3 linked regions of the Canis lupus familiaris genome follow. The protein of the gene in region 1 purifies or fractionates together with the protein of each later gene. This does not show direct contact. Links are inferred from orthologs where the notes say so. Each region holds a gene or a part of one and is shown on either strand. Other genes may lie near its edges.

Region 1 (4,310 bases):
TTGTTAGTAGATGTCAGTAGCCATCCTTCCCCCCAAGTTGTGAACACCAAAAACATGTCTCCAGATATTGCTAAATAACCCAAAGTGGGGGCATAAAATTGTCCCTGCTTGAGAACCACCGATTTACCCCAATATATCCGAAATATCATTTCAACATGTAATGCATATTAAAAATCATTCAAATTTTTACAATTTTTAAATGTATTTTTGAATTGGATATATATTTACCATAGCACTTCTCAACTTGTACTAGCCACATTTCAAGTGCTTGAGAAAAAAAAGATTAGGTCTGGAAATACAGTTGTAGAAATACATGACTTTGAGAAGTCATGAGCTGATAGCAATTGAAATCACGGCAGTAGATAAGATAGTCCAGGAAGGACCATGATTTTATTTTATTTTATTTTTTTCAGGAAGAATTTATTTTCTGAACAAGAAAATAGGAGGATTGAGGAAAATTCCTTCTCCGGTGCTCCTCCAGTTTTCCTGCACAATCTGCGATCCTTTATTATAACTATTTTAAACTATTTTCTTCACAGAACAATATGGAGAACATGAGTGAACAAAGAAAGCGTATTGGGAAAGACAGGCTGATGACCAAAGAAGGGAATTAATGTTTATTGAACACTTAATTGGTAAATAATGTTCAAAGCATTCTATACACTGCCTTATTTCATCTCACAAGAACCCTCTGGGGTAAATAACGTCACCTCAATTTGTCAATAAGGAAACAATTCTTTTTCTTGGTTTAAGAAAGATACCCTTCTATTTTCTTCTTAAATGGAGGTGTAACTGACATTTCATTTTTGGGGGAAAGATAAAGACCTAATAAATTAGACGGCTGTTCATTGGCATCATCGGGATCCGAAAGGTCTGTTTGATTCAAAAGCCTACACTCTCCTCGCCTACATCCATCCTCCTCTTGCACGTAAGGAAGCATTTGCAATCTCCTGCTTTTCATAAAATAACTAAGGAGCCGTATGTGACTGTACAGTCGTTTCCCAGGGTGCCTATTACCACTTTCGATGTGGCTCTGGAAGCGAATCCACTTTAAGGGCAGGGTGCGATGATCTTTATGTCATTAGCGAGTAAGATTTGGGTATCGTTTTCTCGTAAAAGACAGCAAGCCGGGAGGTTTTTGTTTAACTGTAGCCTAAGTGCAATGCGTGATTCTGTGGTTAGCTGCACTTTTCAAGTCACGGAAACAAGAACAGCTGAGGAATAGTTTTTGCTTAAGCGTAGAACACAACAACCAAGGAAAATAAACCAACGAGCTTCACGAAACCGTCCGGCTTCGCTTTACAGACGCGACAAAACGAGCACAAAGGGGGAGGGCTGGGGCGGAGGGGGCGGGGCACCGGGAGGCCAGAGTCTGAGCATGCGCAGAAACAGCGACGGAGGGAGGCGTGAGCGCCGCGGCGCTCTCACTTTGCGAACTGTCGTAAAGCCCCCGACTGTCGCGCTCCCTCGGTAGAGGAGGGATTGGTTAGGCGGCGGCAGCGGCGGCGGCGGCAGGAGAGCAGCGGCGGCGGCGGCGGCGGCGAGGTGTGGGGTCTGCGCCGCACAGAACCGCCCGCGGCTTCGGGGAAGGCGTTCTTGCGGGGGTCAAATCGGGCATCCCGAACCGAAGCCGGGTGAACTGGGCCGAACCAGGCGCTGCCGCTCGTACGGTTTGGCGGCGGTGACAGACGCAGCTCTTGAGTGTAGGGGCCTGTTAGGCCGAGACCTCAGCCGCGGATCACCGGTTCTCGACGCAGCCTCTTCCCCTCTTCCGCCTCCTGTGTCCCTCCCTGGGCAGGGATTTCCCGGACTCTGGGAAGAGGGTGGCTAATGATTAAGGTGAGGGGGGCTAGGGGGGAGGGGATGGATGGGAAGCCGCGCGTGCGCGCGACGGGGGAGGGGCCGGCCCGGAGGGGAGAAAGAGGAAGGGCTGCGGCCGCGGAAGGCTGGGGTCGGCGGCCGGCGGTGCTGCCGGTTCCCCGGTGACTTGGGGTCCGCGGCTCCGCGGGAGGGTTAATTGTGTTTGCGCGGAGCGGCGGTCTGCAGACACACCCACACCCCGCTGTAAGGCAGTGTGGGTGAGGGGCTTTCTCTCCCTCTTTGGACTCTCCCTGGAGTCTAGGAAGGGGGCTGAAGACGGAGGCGTGGGAGTGCGACCTGACAATGGAGTGATGAAGGTAACCCGCCCCCGGGGTGTCGGAGGGCGCTAAGTCGGCCCCGCGGGGAGGGAGTCGCCGCCTCCTGTGCTCAAGGAAACGTCCGCCGAGCAGCGCGCAGACGGACGCGTCAGATTTCGGTGTAGAGTTGGTTTGTCGGTCATTTAAAAAAAAAAAAAAAAAAAAAAAAGGCAGCTCACTGTTTTATTATTGTTCTTAGATAATTTGTCGGAGTCAGTGGCACAAGGCTGTCGTGGCAACGGTCTGCTCCGTACTGTAGAAATAGAGGTTTGCCAGCCATAGTCGTTAAATAGGTCGTAATAGGTCTTTACAGATACTTCTTAAGGCGCATCTAAGTTTCGGTGCTTAAAACACACACACACACACACACCAGGAAGTGTAAGGTATTCATTTAATTTGTTAATGTTTGTAGTGTGAGGCGACTCCATTGTATTGTGCGCTTTCCTGTTTCTTGATTTACGTGGAGTATGAATTTAGAACACTCCGGAGTGATAAGATGCCAGCTGACACAGACTTCATCTTCCAGTTCTTTTAGCTTTCGGACCTTGCTTAACCCAAACTTTATTTCACTTGGTATTTTTTACGTTTAATTTTCTTGTTTTAGGGACCCCTTCCCCCCAAAAAAGAACAGCCTGGGGAAAAGAGAAGCCAAGGTTCCGTTTCCTTTTCCATCCGTGTGTGTGTCATTGCTTTCAAATGTCAGGATAGTGATTTCGTACATCGAAGTTCCATAATACCTAGTTTTACTTAGTTCTATTATGGTGAAGGTCTACATTATGACAGTTTGTTACTACCGTGATTTTATTTTAGCAAAAATTTTCATGTCAATATAAACTATGTTGCTTTTCATATGAAACAGTAGTCTTTTGAGCGCTCTGTGAGACCAAACGCGATGAGAAAGAAGCCTCTTATGCTGCAAAGAATCTAATTTTTTTTTATTTTTTTTAAATTTTATTTTTTACTTATGATAGAGAGAGAGAGAGAGAGAGAGAGAGAGAGGCAGAGACACAGGCAGGGGGAGAAGCAGGCTCCATGCACCGGGAGCCCGACGTGGGATTCGATCCCGGGTCTCCAGGATCGCGCCCTGGGCCAAAGGCAGGCGCTAAACCGCTGTGCCACCCAGGGATCCCTTTTTTTAAAGCCTTGAATTATTTTACTTTTGTTGGCCACTTCTTGGCATTTAACCTCGGACAAAATAAGAGAATAGCAATTTACACGTTTGGAGCAGAGGAGCAGTCAGCAGATATTTGTAGATAGTTATTTTCATTATAAAATTTAAAGTGGGTTTAAAAAAATCCATTGAATCAAACTAATTAGATTTTTTACACATTTAATTATTTTGCCAAAGAGGGGTTTCTGTAACATGCTTTACTTAGAGTATGATTGTCTGCATCCTATTTTTGACTTTTTCCCCTCTGAGCTGAGACTTCCACTAGGAAGAAAAGACAGTGACAGTATTAAAAATGTTAGTGATTAAAGCATGTTAGTAACTTTGATATTAACATTCTGTGGGTGGCATTATCTTATGGAAGGGAATGGGGCTGGAGATCAGAGCTCTGGATTTTAAATCTGTTCCTTAGATCTGTGCCTTTATTGATAACCATCTTTAGTTTCAGATCTCTCTCAATTGCTAGATGAGAACTGTAGGATAGTTTTTTAGTCTTCTCTAGGTCCCAAATTTAATGGTTTGTATTTTTGGTTAGGTGCTTTTGGTACTTGTTGGTGTGTTCATCATGATCCAATTCCTGGAAAGAAGTGTTATATTGAGTGTAAATTCCTTCATGTTTATATTGGTGGTGGGGGTGGGGAGAGAACTATGATAAAGTCATGTTTGTTGCTTTAGATAACGCTTCTGTCTTATTATAGATATTATATATGACTAAATAGCTCTCATACTAAAAGGTGAAACTTCATTTTACTTCTGGTAATGCTCTTTAAATCATCCTAATAATTTTTTCTGTCAGAAACCTATAATCGTTGGTCGCAGTCCAGAATTGGCATTTGAATGTCTTACATCTCTGTTCTTTCTTGTATGCACCTCACCGATTGTTGGTAACAGCTGGCCCACATTTCTGCAGGCATTCAGTTCATACCATTACATGTGGAGTGGGCTACAGATGTTTAAAAACAAAT
Region 2 (4,170 bases), on another chromosome or scaffold:
AGAAGCGACCTCGAAGCGGTCAAACCAGGAGAAATTGGACAAAAATGGGCGAAAAGGGGGGGGGAAAGAAAAAAGAAAACCAACCCCCCGAGACGAAGCCCGAGTCCTCTGAATTCTGTGCAGTGCAACTCGGGGGCCTATTTCGGTTCCTGATCGTGCGGTGGGGGTGGAGAAAAGGGGATTTCTCGGCGTTTCGAAATGGGACGGAGCACGTCGGCAGAGTTCAGCAGGCTGCTCGGCCACCCGGGGCGCACCCACCCGGGGCGCACCCACCCGGCCCTCGGCTCGCCCCGGGGGCCCCGCGCACTCGCCCCGGCCGCGCCTGCACCGCGTTCCGTGTCCCCCTCGAAAGCCCTCCGTGGGCGGCGGGGAGCGGGGGGCGTCCCGGGGAGCCGGGGGGTCCCGGGGGGGCCGAGGGGGGGCCCGGAGGCGCGGGGGGCAGACGCGCTCGCTCCGGGTCCCGCCGGGCCGGAGGGCGCAGGGCGCAGGGCGGAGGGAGGTCAGGCCGGGGAAGGCGTCCGGGCGGGGGCCGCCGAGGCGGGGCGGGGCGGGGCGGGGCGGGCAGCTGGCGGGAGGCCCCGCGGGGGGGGGGGCGGGCGGGGCGGGGCGCGGGGCCCCCGGCGGGGCGCTGCAGGGCGGCCGCCACCCGGCTGCCTCCGGGGCGGGGCGGGGCGGCCCAGCTGCGGCCTCGCGGGGGGAGGGTCGCCCGTGCCTGACCTCGGGCGGCGGCGCCTCCGCCCCGCCGGCTGCTGGGGTCGCGCACAGTGCACGGCGCGGCCGCCCCGCCCCTCCCCTCCCCTGCGCGCCCCCCGCCCCCGCCCCCTCCCCGTCCCCCTCCCCCTCCCCCGGCGCGCGGCAGCCGAGCGGCCGGGGCGCCCCCGGGTCTGGCCGTCAGCGCGGAGCAGCGGGCGGGGCGGGGCGGGGCGGCGGCGGCCCCAGACAGCCGGCTGGGCGACTCGAGGAAGGAAGGAGGGCGGGCGGCGGGCGGCGGGCGGCGGGCGGCGGGCGGGGGTGGGGCGGGGAGGGCACATCCTGTCTGCGCCGGGTGCACCGCAGACAGCGCCGCGCGCCAGCCGCCCAGACGGCGCGCGAGGAGGCCGGGGCGCGGGGGCGCGCCTGGGGCGGGGGCGCGGGGGGCGGGCGCGGTGGGCGGGGGCGGGGCGGGCGCGGGAGCCCCAGTAGCCAGACGGCGCGCGCCCGGGGGGGGGGGAGCGGGGGGCGGGGGGCGGGGCGGCGGGGGCGCGCGCGCGGGGCCGCCGCCGGCTCGGCTCGCGTCCCCTCCCCCCTGCCCGCCCCCGGGCGGCCGGAGACGGCGGCGGCGTCTGCGGGAAGCCGTGTGTCTCCGCAGTGACGTGGGCGGGCCGAGGGCTCGGTGACGTCAGAGGGCTGTGTGTAGCGATGTGTGTGGGGTTCGGAGCGGCGCCGGCACAGCCGAGGGGAGCGGGCGAGCGGCGGCGGCGGGCACAGGTGCGGCCCCGGGGCGCGGGGGACGCGGCGGCGGGGGGCGGGGGGCGGGGGGCGCTGGGGCCGGGGCAGGGCTCGTCGAGCGGCGCGGGGCAGGGGCGCGGGGCAGGGGCGCTGGGGGCGCGGGGGGGGCGCGGGTCCCGGTCCCGGTCCCGGGTGCGGTCGGGGCGGGGGTCCCGCGGCGGGTCGCGGCTCGCGGACCCCGGGCGGGGGCGGGGGCGGGGGCGCGGGGAGGGCGCGGGGAGGGCGCTGCACTTGACCCGGGCGGTCGGGACCCCGAGACCCGGGCGCGCGGCGCTCCCCGCCCCCCCCCCCCGACCGTCTGCGCTCCTCGGGGATGCCCCGGGCGGCGGGCGGCGGGCGGCGCGGGGATCCCGGCTCGCGCCCCGGGCGCCCGCAGACCCCGCCGCCCCGTGGCCCCGGCGGCCGGGGGTGCAGCCCGAGGGTGCGGGGGTAGCGCCCGGCAACTTCCCGCGGCCGGGGCGCGCGGGGCTTTCCGCAGCGGGGGCAGCGCCGGGAGGGCGCGCGGGGTCGCCCCGAGACTGGGGGCTCCCCCCTCCCCTCCCCCTCCCCCTCCCCCTCGGCGTGCACAGCCCGAGGCGTCCCGGCCTCCCGCCTCTCGGCGCCCCGTCCGGCTCCGCGCAGGGTGGGTGGGCGGGCGCGGGCCGAGGATCTCGGGGCTCGGGGCCCCCCCGCAGGTCCGGCCCCCGCCCCCCCCGCCCCCGCCCCCTGCCCGCGGTGGGCGATCCGCGCCCTGCCCCGTGGCCTTGGGCCGCCACCCTGGGTCCTCCTAAGGTGAACTGCTGGGAGTTGGGGAGGCAGAAATTTCCATTGATTGGATTTCTTTCGGATTCTCGCTCAAGAAGGAAGTGGAAGAAGAAGCTTTTCTCTTTCCCTCTTCCTCCATTTGCATTCTTTGTGAGGTCTGTCTGCCTTGTGTGTGTGTGTGTGTGTGTGTGTGTGTTTTGTCCGGGATTAGTCTGGTTAAGGATGGAGATTCCCAGGAGTGGAGTCCGGGAGCTTTTGGCTTCCATGAAGCACATTCACTAACCTTTTAAAGGGAAAGTTAATTTTTGCCTACAGTCATTTCAGAAAAAAAATAACATACGTGGACTAGGTGAATCCATGCACTTAAAATCGTAACTTAGTTCCATGTGGTAGATATCTTAACTGCTATCTGATTTTTTTTTTGGGGGGGGGATGGAACTGGTGTGTATATATATATATATATATATATATATATATATATATTTATTTATTTATTTATTTATTTATTTTTTTCGATTAAGAGCTGAAGTAATGGATTACGGTAAAGTGGCATACCTGAGAAAGCCTCTGGCACTGAGTTTTGGGTGAGATGATCTATCTAAAGACTCTTCCTATTCTGAGTTGGAGTAGCCCTCCCTCTCCCTTTTGAGGAAGACTATTGCTCCCTTTACCCATTCTCCAGATTGCTTTCCTGTTTAAATGAAGCTCTTCTACTTAACTGGTGCTAAATTTAAAGAAGTCGCTCACCTCACCTTTGGTAAAGTGAACTCAGTCTAAGATTAAGAAACTAGTTTCACACTGACCCTTTGGCCTCTGGAGCAAATTCAAATATAACTCTCCCCCACCCCTTTCTCTTCCAGATTAATTAAAAGAAGAATGAACAGTAATCCATGAAGATAACTGGGCAACCTTTTTTTTTTTTTTTTTTTTTTTTAGGTATCATTTTTAACTGTAGGAGTTCAAGTGGAGTCAAAAGCTCTTCCCACTGGTGTGAGGATTTATACAAGCCTTCAGTTTATCAACACAGACCAACAGATCATCACTTTTAGAGAAGATACTTTTTTTCCCCCTTCTTCCTTTTTTGGTGTCCTCGGTGCCAAAAACTAATTTCGGGAGCGACTCTTTGATTTGTGTTTGTGTCCAGGTTTTGTGACACAGGTAATCACACAAACTTTTCACATGTTTTGCCTAAAACCAAACCAAACCACTGCATTGATTCTGGACTTCTCGAATTGAGAGAATTGTTAAGTGTACTTTAATGCATATATTGGAAGAATTAAGAGAAAAGGCTTCTTCATAGGTGTGCCTCTCAAAATTATATTCTCTATTATTAGCGACAAAAGAAAAAAGTTTATAGCACTGGCAGTGAAATTATACTAGAGCAGAAGCAGAACCAGATCAAGTTGCAAAATCTATTAAGGGGATTTCTCTGAACATTGAGATTTTCTGTGAGAGTAAGTTACCCTAAGTATTGACACATACTGCTTTTCTCTCTTCCAATGAGTGACTAAAAGAACAATGCACATTTCAGACTTACTTATTTAACACGACAGTTTTTAGCCATGGCAAACCTGCAGACAAGTTTTTCCCTGCTTCAGGGCTCCAGTAAAAAACTGAATGGGATGGGAGATGATGGCGGCCCTCCAGTGAAAAAAATGATGACAGACATTCACGCAAACGGGAAAATGATGATCAACAGCAAGATGCCAACCGTGAAGAAGGAACACTTGGATGACTATGAAGTGCCAATGGAAACTGATGGGGAACATGTCAAGCGAACCTGTGCCTCTGTGCCTGAACCTTTACATTTAAACCCCAGTTTGAAACACACTTTGGCCCAGTTCCATTTGAGCAGTCAGAGCTCTCTGGGTGGCCCAGCGGCGTTTTCTGCTCGGTATTCCCAAGAAAGCATGTCCCCTACCGTGTTTCTGCCTCTTC
Region 3 (3,590 bases), on another chromosome or scaffold:
CAGAAGAGTTGTTACATTAAGTCTTTTGATGGGATCTGAGTGGTGACGAAGCTTTATGACATGCTTGAGCAACGCACTGAAGGGGATCCCATCTGAGTTAATACTTTGTCCAACCACTGTAGAGGTCCATTCAGATGAAGTTCAATCCAGCAAGGAGTGCTCGTTACCGTCTGCCTTCTATTTAAAAGAATACAAGAAAATAATTATGAAATTAAAAGAATATGGCGATGTTCAACAACATGCATTAAGAATTTAGTTAAATTAAAAGGCTGTATATACTAAAGCCTACATTCTTTAGGACAAGTATGAAGTCTGAATAGCTATTACTCTGAAAATTATTTAATCCTCCAAGTCTAACAAAATACTTCTAGTGACTTTTATTTTTTTTTTGCTTTTAAAGAAATTAACAAAAACATTCATTTCTCTTCAAATTAAAATTAGGAGGGTGACCTGACTACTTACCAACTAAAACGAGACACCTTTCAGAGTGAATGAATAGTCACTATTAATAATCAGGCCAGGAACAAGGGACTCAAACCAGGACTGTCCCAAGCAAACCAAAAAACACAGTCACCCTACTGATTAATCAATCGCAGAGCAGAGGATCCTCAAATACCAAGTCAAGTCTAAATAGAACAGGGTTCAAATTTCAAGTGTACCAAAACAAAACAGAATTCTGACCGAAGCTTATCACAGAATGTTCAGAGCTAGAGGTCGGCCTTCCCTGACAAGGCCAATGAAACATCTCTGTTAGAAACATGGGTGCAAGCTTTTAATAGAAACACCTCCAGCATTTCGACATAATGGGACTCTGGGAACTACAAACTGTTTAGTGACGTCCCGTCACTTGCTCACATACTGATCTGAGTTCTGTCTTATTTATTATCTACAGTAAGTCAGCGAGTCTGCTTGCTGCTTCACTGTGACCGCCCTACAAACACAAGAAAAGGCCATTATCAAACCTTCAGCTCCAAGTGACACATGCTCACTATAACTTAAAACTGCATCTCAAAGGTTGTGGTTTTCTATAGCAGATGGTGTCAGTGCCGCACTGTACCCTCTGGAGTTTTCAGCATTCTCTTGCCGACTAACAATCGCGTATCTCTGAATTCCTGTGCCTAACAACTTCTCTGCTCGGGCCACATGTGCAGACCACAAATGCTAGGAAATTACCTCCCCAGGAGCAGCTCTTACCCAATGACATGGGAACTGGCATTTAAACACCCGGTTTCCTTTCCTTCTGGGTGGGATAATTCTGTACGTTCATTACAGTTTCCCATGTTTTCCTAGGGGAATAAGCTCTAATGACCCACCCAACACAGCAGCAGGCTTAATAATGGTTTTGGCTGCCTTCCCTCCCCTACCTCACTTCTCTATTTCCTCCTTCCTTACCAGTGCGTCCTCCATTTCCTGAACCAACTCCTAGCATTTGAATCCTTGTCTCGGGGTCTGAGACATACACTAAGATGTTGATATGGGATCATTCCTAAAACATGACAGATTTGAGGAACAGTCTCAAATCTGACCTGTACAAACCCATGGTCGTATTTTGATTCGGACAGTACATTTTGGCTTATGCAGCTTAGCATTGCACTGGCACACTGTACAAGTTAGCTCATGTAATCCAGGAGGCAGAGGCCAGACTGACCCTTCTCCATCTGCCACCCTCTGTTCTTCCTGTTGTTTCTCAAAGAAGTTTCTCCTGCTTTCTAGCTCTCCCTCAGATCAGGCCTTCTGCAGGCTTTTGCCAAGATCTCTTTGAATTTTGATTCTGTCATTTGCTGAATTCTGGGTACTTCTCAGTTTGTTTTCGGTCAGATCATTTCAGTCAGAAGGTTCATCAGATGAACCTTTGGGAATCATTCCTAATCCAGTCACTGAATGGGGAGTAGGTTTCAGAATACTGTCAGTGGTCTTGTTTGGGCACAGAAATGCACCCAAAACATTATTTATCCCCTACCTATTTATTCACTTCAGTAACAATTCACTTAACTCAGACATATTTCTTCAGTTAAATATATAAACTCTTTGCACATCTATATTGCTTACTACATTTCCTGATTTTTATGCTGGCAAATATGCTGGTAATAAAGAAACTGAAAAACAGTTTGAGAAATCTTGCCCTGAGATCTACCCCCACAGCTCCAGCATCATTAAGGATAAAAGGTTCCTGGTAACCACCAACAGTTCACAGAGAGCAGGTACCTGACATTATTCTGATCTATAGATGTTAAAGGAAACTAGTTTACTACCCAAAGTAGATCTATCTGACTATATACCAATAAAAACATACTGTATGTTACCGCTTCTCATCATTACAGTTTTTAAATTCTCCCCAGGTTTAAGAATGGCAGAGTGCACAGTGCACCCAGGGCAGCACCTCTCTTCCACCAAGTAAAACTGCCCTTGGCAGGAGAGCTATAAACACACGTGTAAGTCTCCCCGCTCTCGGCAGTTCATGTTTAATGGCACTAAATTTCTACTATCGTGTTCTGTAATTCTCATCTTTTGAAGAAAAAAAACCTGTGACCTAAAAGCCTGGTATCAGATGGTGCCACCTCAATCTAATTTTTAATATCAACTCAGGCCAATTCAAGCCCAAAGCAAAAAGGAGCTCTGTGCTCTTTTAAAGCATCACACCTTAAAAGGGAAATGATTAAATGAATTTTTCTACAATTATAACCTGGCCAAAATAAAGACAAGTCTTTATTCTAGGATACAAATATACGAAACAGTATTGATTTTTATAAAAGTATTCACCCAGCAGACCTCAGGTTTCACCATCTCAAGAGACACACACCTCCCCAAATTTGTTGAAGGTAGAGAATCAAGTCCAAATGAAATGAAACACATTCTGAAGAAGAGGCTCAAACTGCCAGGTAAGAAACAGGAATATGATGACTACTGTACATGAATACCTTTGCATGCGAGTGCTCACAGTGAGCAAAACTAGCTGGAGGAGGACTAAGTACTTTACTCATGGTTCCAGCCTTAAATATGCTAAGGGAGTCTTCTGTTCCTCTCATGTGGAATCCAGTCCATGCTTTAATTTGGTAATAACCTAACTTGCTTTATCCTCCGCTGACAACCTAACTTCTGTAGAACTCAGTTTTGTAATGTTACTACCACCCTTGGAGAGGGCGTTAAGAGGCAAGGAAAGCTCTCCTCAAGTCCATCTCCATGGACTCCTCTCCACCATGTAGAGAGTGCCCCTAGGCAAATTCTCAAATCTTTTCTACGCCTATTTCCAACTAAGTATTAGTCTGAACTACTTTTTGCAACCATATAAAAAGAGACAATAGAAATAGTGATTCTTAGCCAGGCCGCAATGTGTGATGTCCTGCACTGAAAACACGGCACAGCACCTGACATCTGCCAAGTATGCCCTTCTATTACTGAATGAAGCTCTACCTCTTAACCTTACATTCCACTGGTCTCTAATGATCTGTCCAGATATATTCTTACTTTCTGTACTCCAGCTGAACTGAACTGTATGCTAGTGTCAGCATCATAGTTTCGCAACCCCTCATACCAACCTGAAATCCTAGGCATCTTTCACAACCTAGATCATGTGCCATCTCTACTGGAAG

What was found.
Region 2: the proteins of RNF111 (region 1) and SKIL purify together in Homo sapiens (affinity purification with western blotting; 3 studies listed by BioGRID). This does not show direct contact. The link is inferred for Canis lupus familiaris from reciprocal best matches to the Homo sapiens genes RNF111 and SKIL.
Region 3: the proteins of RNF111 (region 1) and SMAD2 purify together in Homo sapiens (affinity purification with western blotting, with the first as the bait; 3 studies listed by BioGRID). This does not show direct contact. The link is inferred for Canis lupus familiaris from reciprocal best matches to the Homo sapiens genes RNF111 and SMAD2.

What each region holds. Positions count from the first base shown.
Region 1 is NC_049251.1:24,253,042-24,257,351, forward strand, and holds the start of RNF111 (E3 ubiquitin-protein ligase Arkadia), read left to right. Parts: upstream 1-1,490; 5' UTR 1,491-1,839; intron 1,840-1,906; exon of another isoform or gene 1,907-2,177; intron 2,178-4,310. UniProt on the Homo sapiens protein: E3 ubiquitin-protein ligase. Required for mesoderm patterning during embryonic development. Acts as an enhancer of the transcriptional responses of the SMAD2/SMAD3 effectors, which are activated downstream of BMP.
Region 2 is NC_049255.1:35,127,789-35,131,958, forward strand, and holds the start of SKIL (ski-like protein), read left to right. Parts: upstream 1-1,287; 5' UTR 1,288-1,467; intron 1,468-2,330; 5' UTR 2,331-2,387; intron 2,388-2,753; exon of another isoform or gene 2,754-2,816; intron 2,817-3,092; exon of another isoform or gene 3,093-3,168; 5' UTR 3,169-3,794; coding exon 3,795-4,170. UniProt on the Homo sapiens protein: May have regulatory role in cell division or differentiation in response to extracellular signals.
Region 3 is NC_049228.1:43,758,102-43,761,691, reverse strand, and holds part of SMAD2 (mothers against decapentaplegic homolog 2), read right to left. Parts: intron 178-3,590; coding exon 54-177; 3' UTR 1-53. UniProt on the Homo sapiens protein: Receptor-regulated SMAD (R-SMAD) that is an intracellular signal transducer and transcriptional modulator activated by TGF-beta (transforming growth factor) and activin type 1 receptor kinases.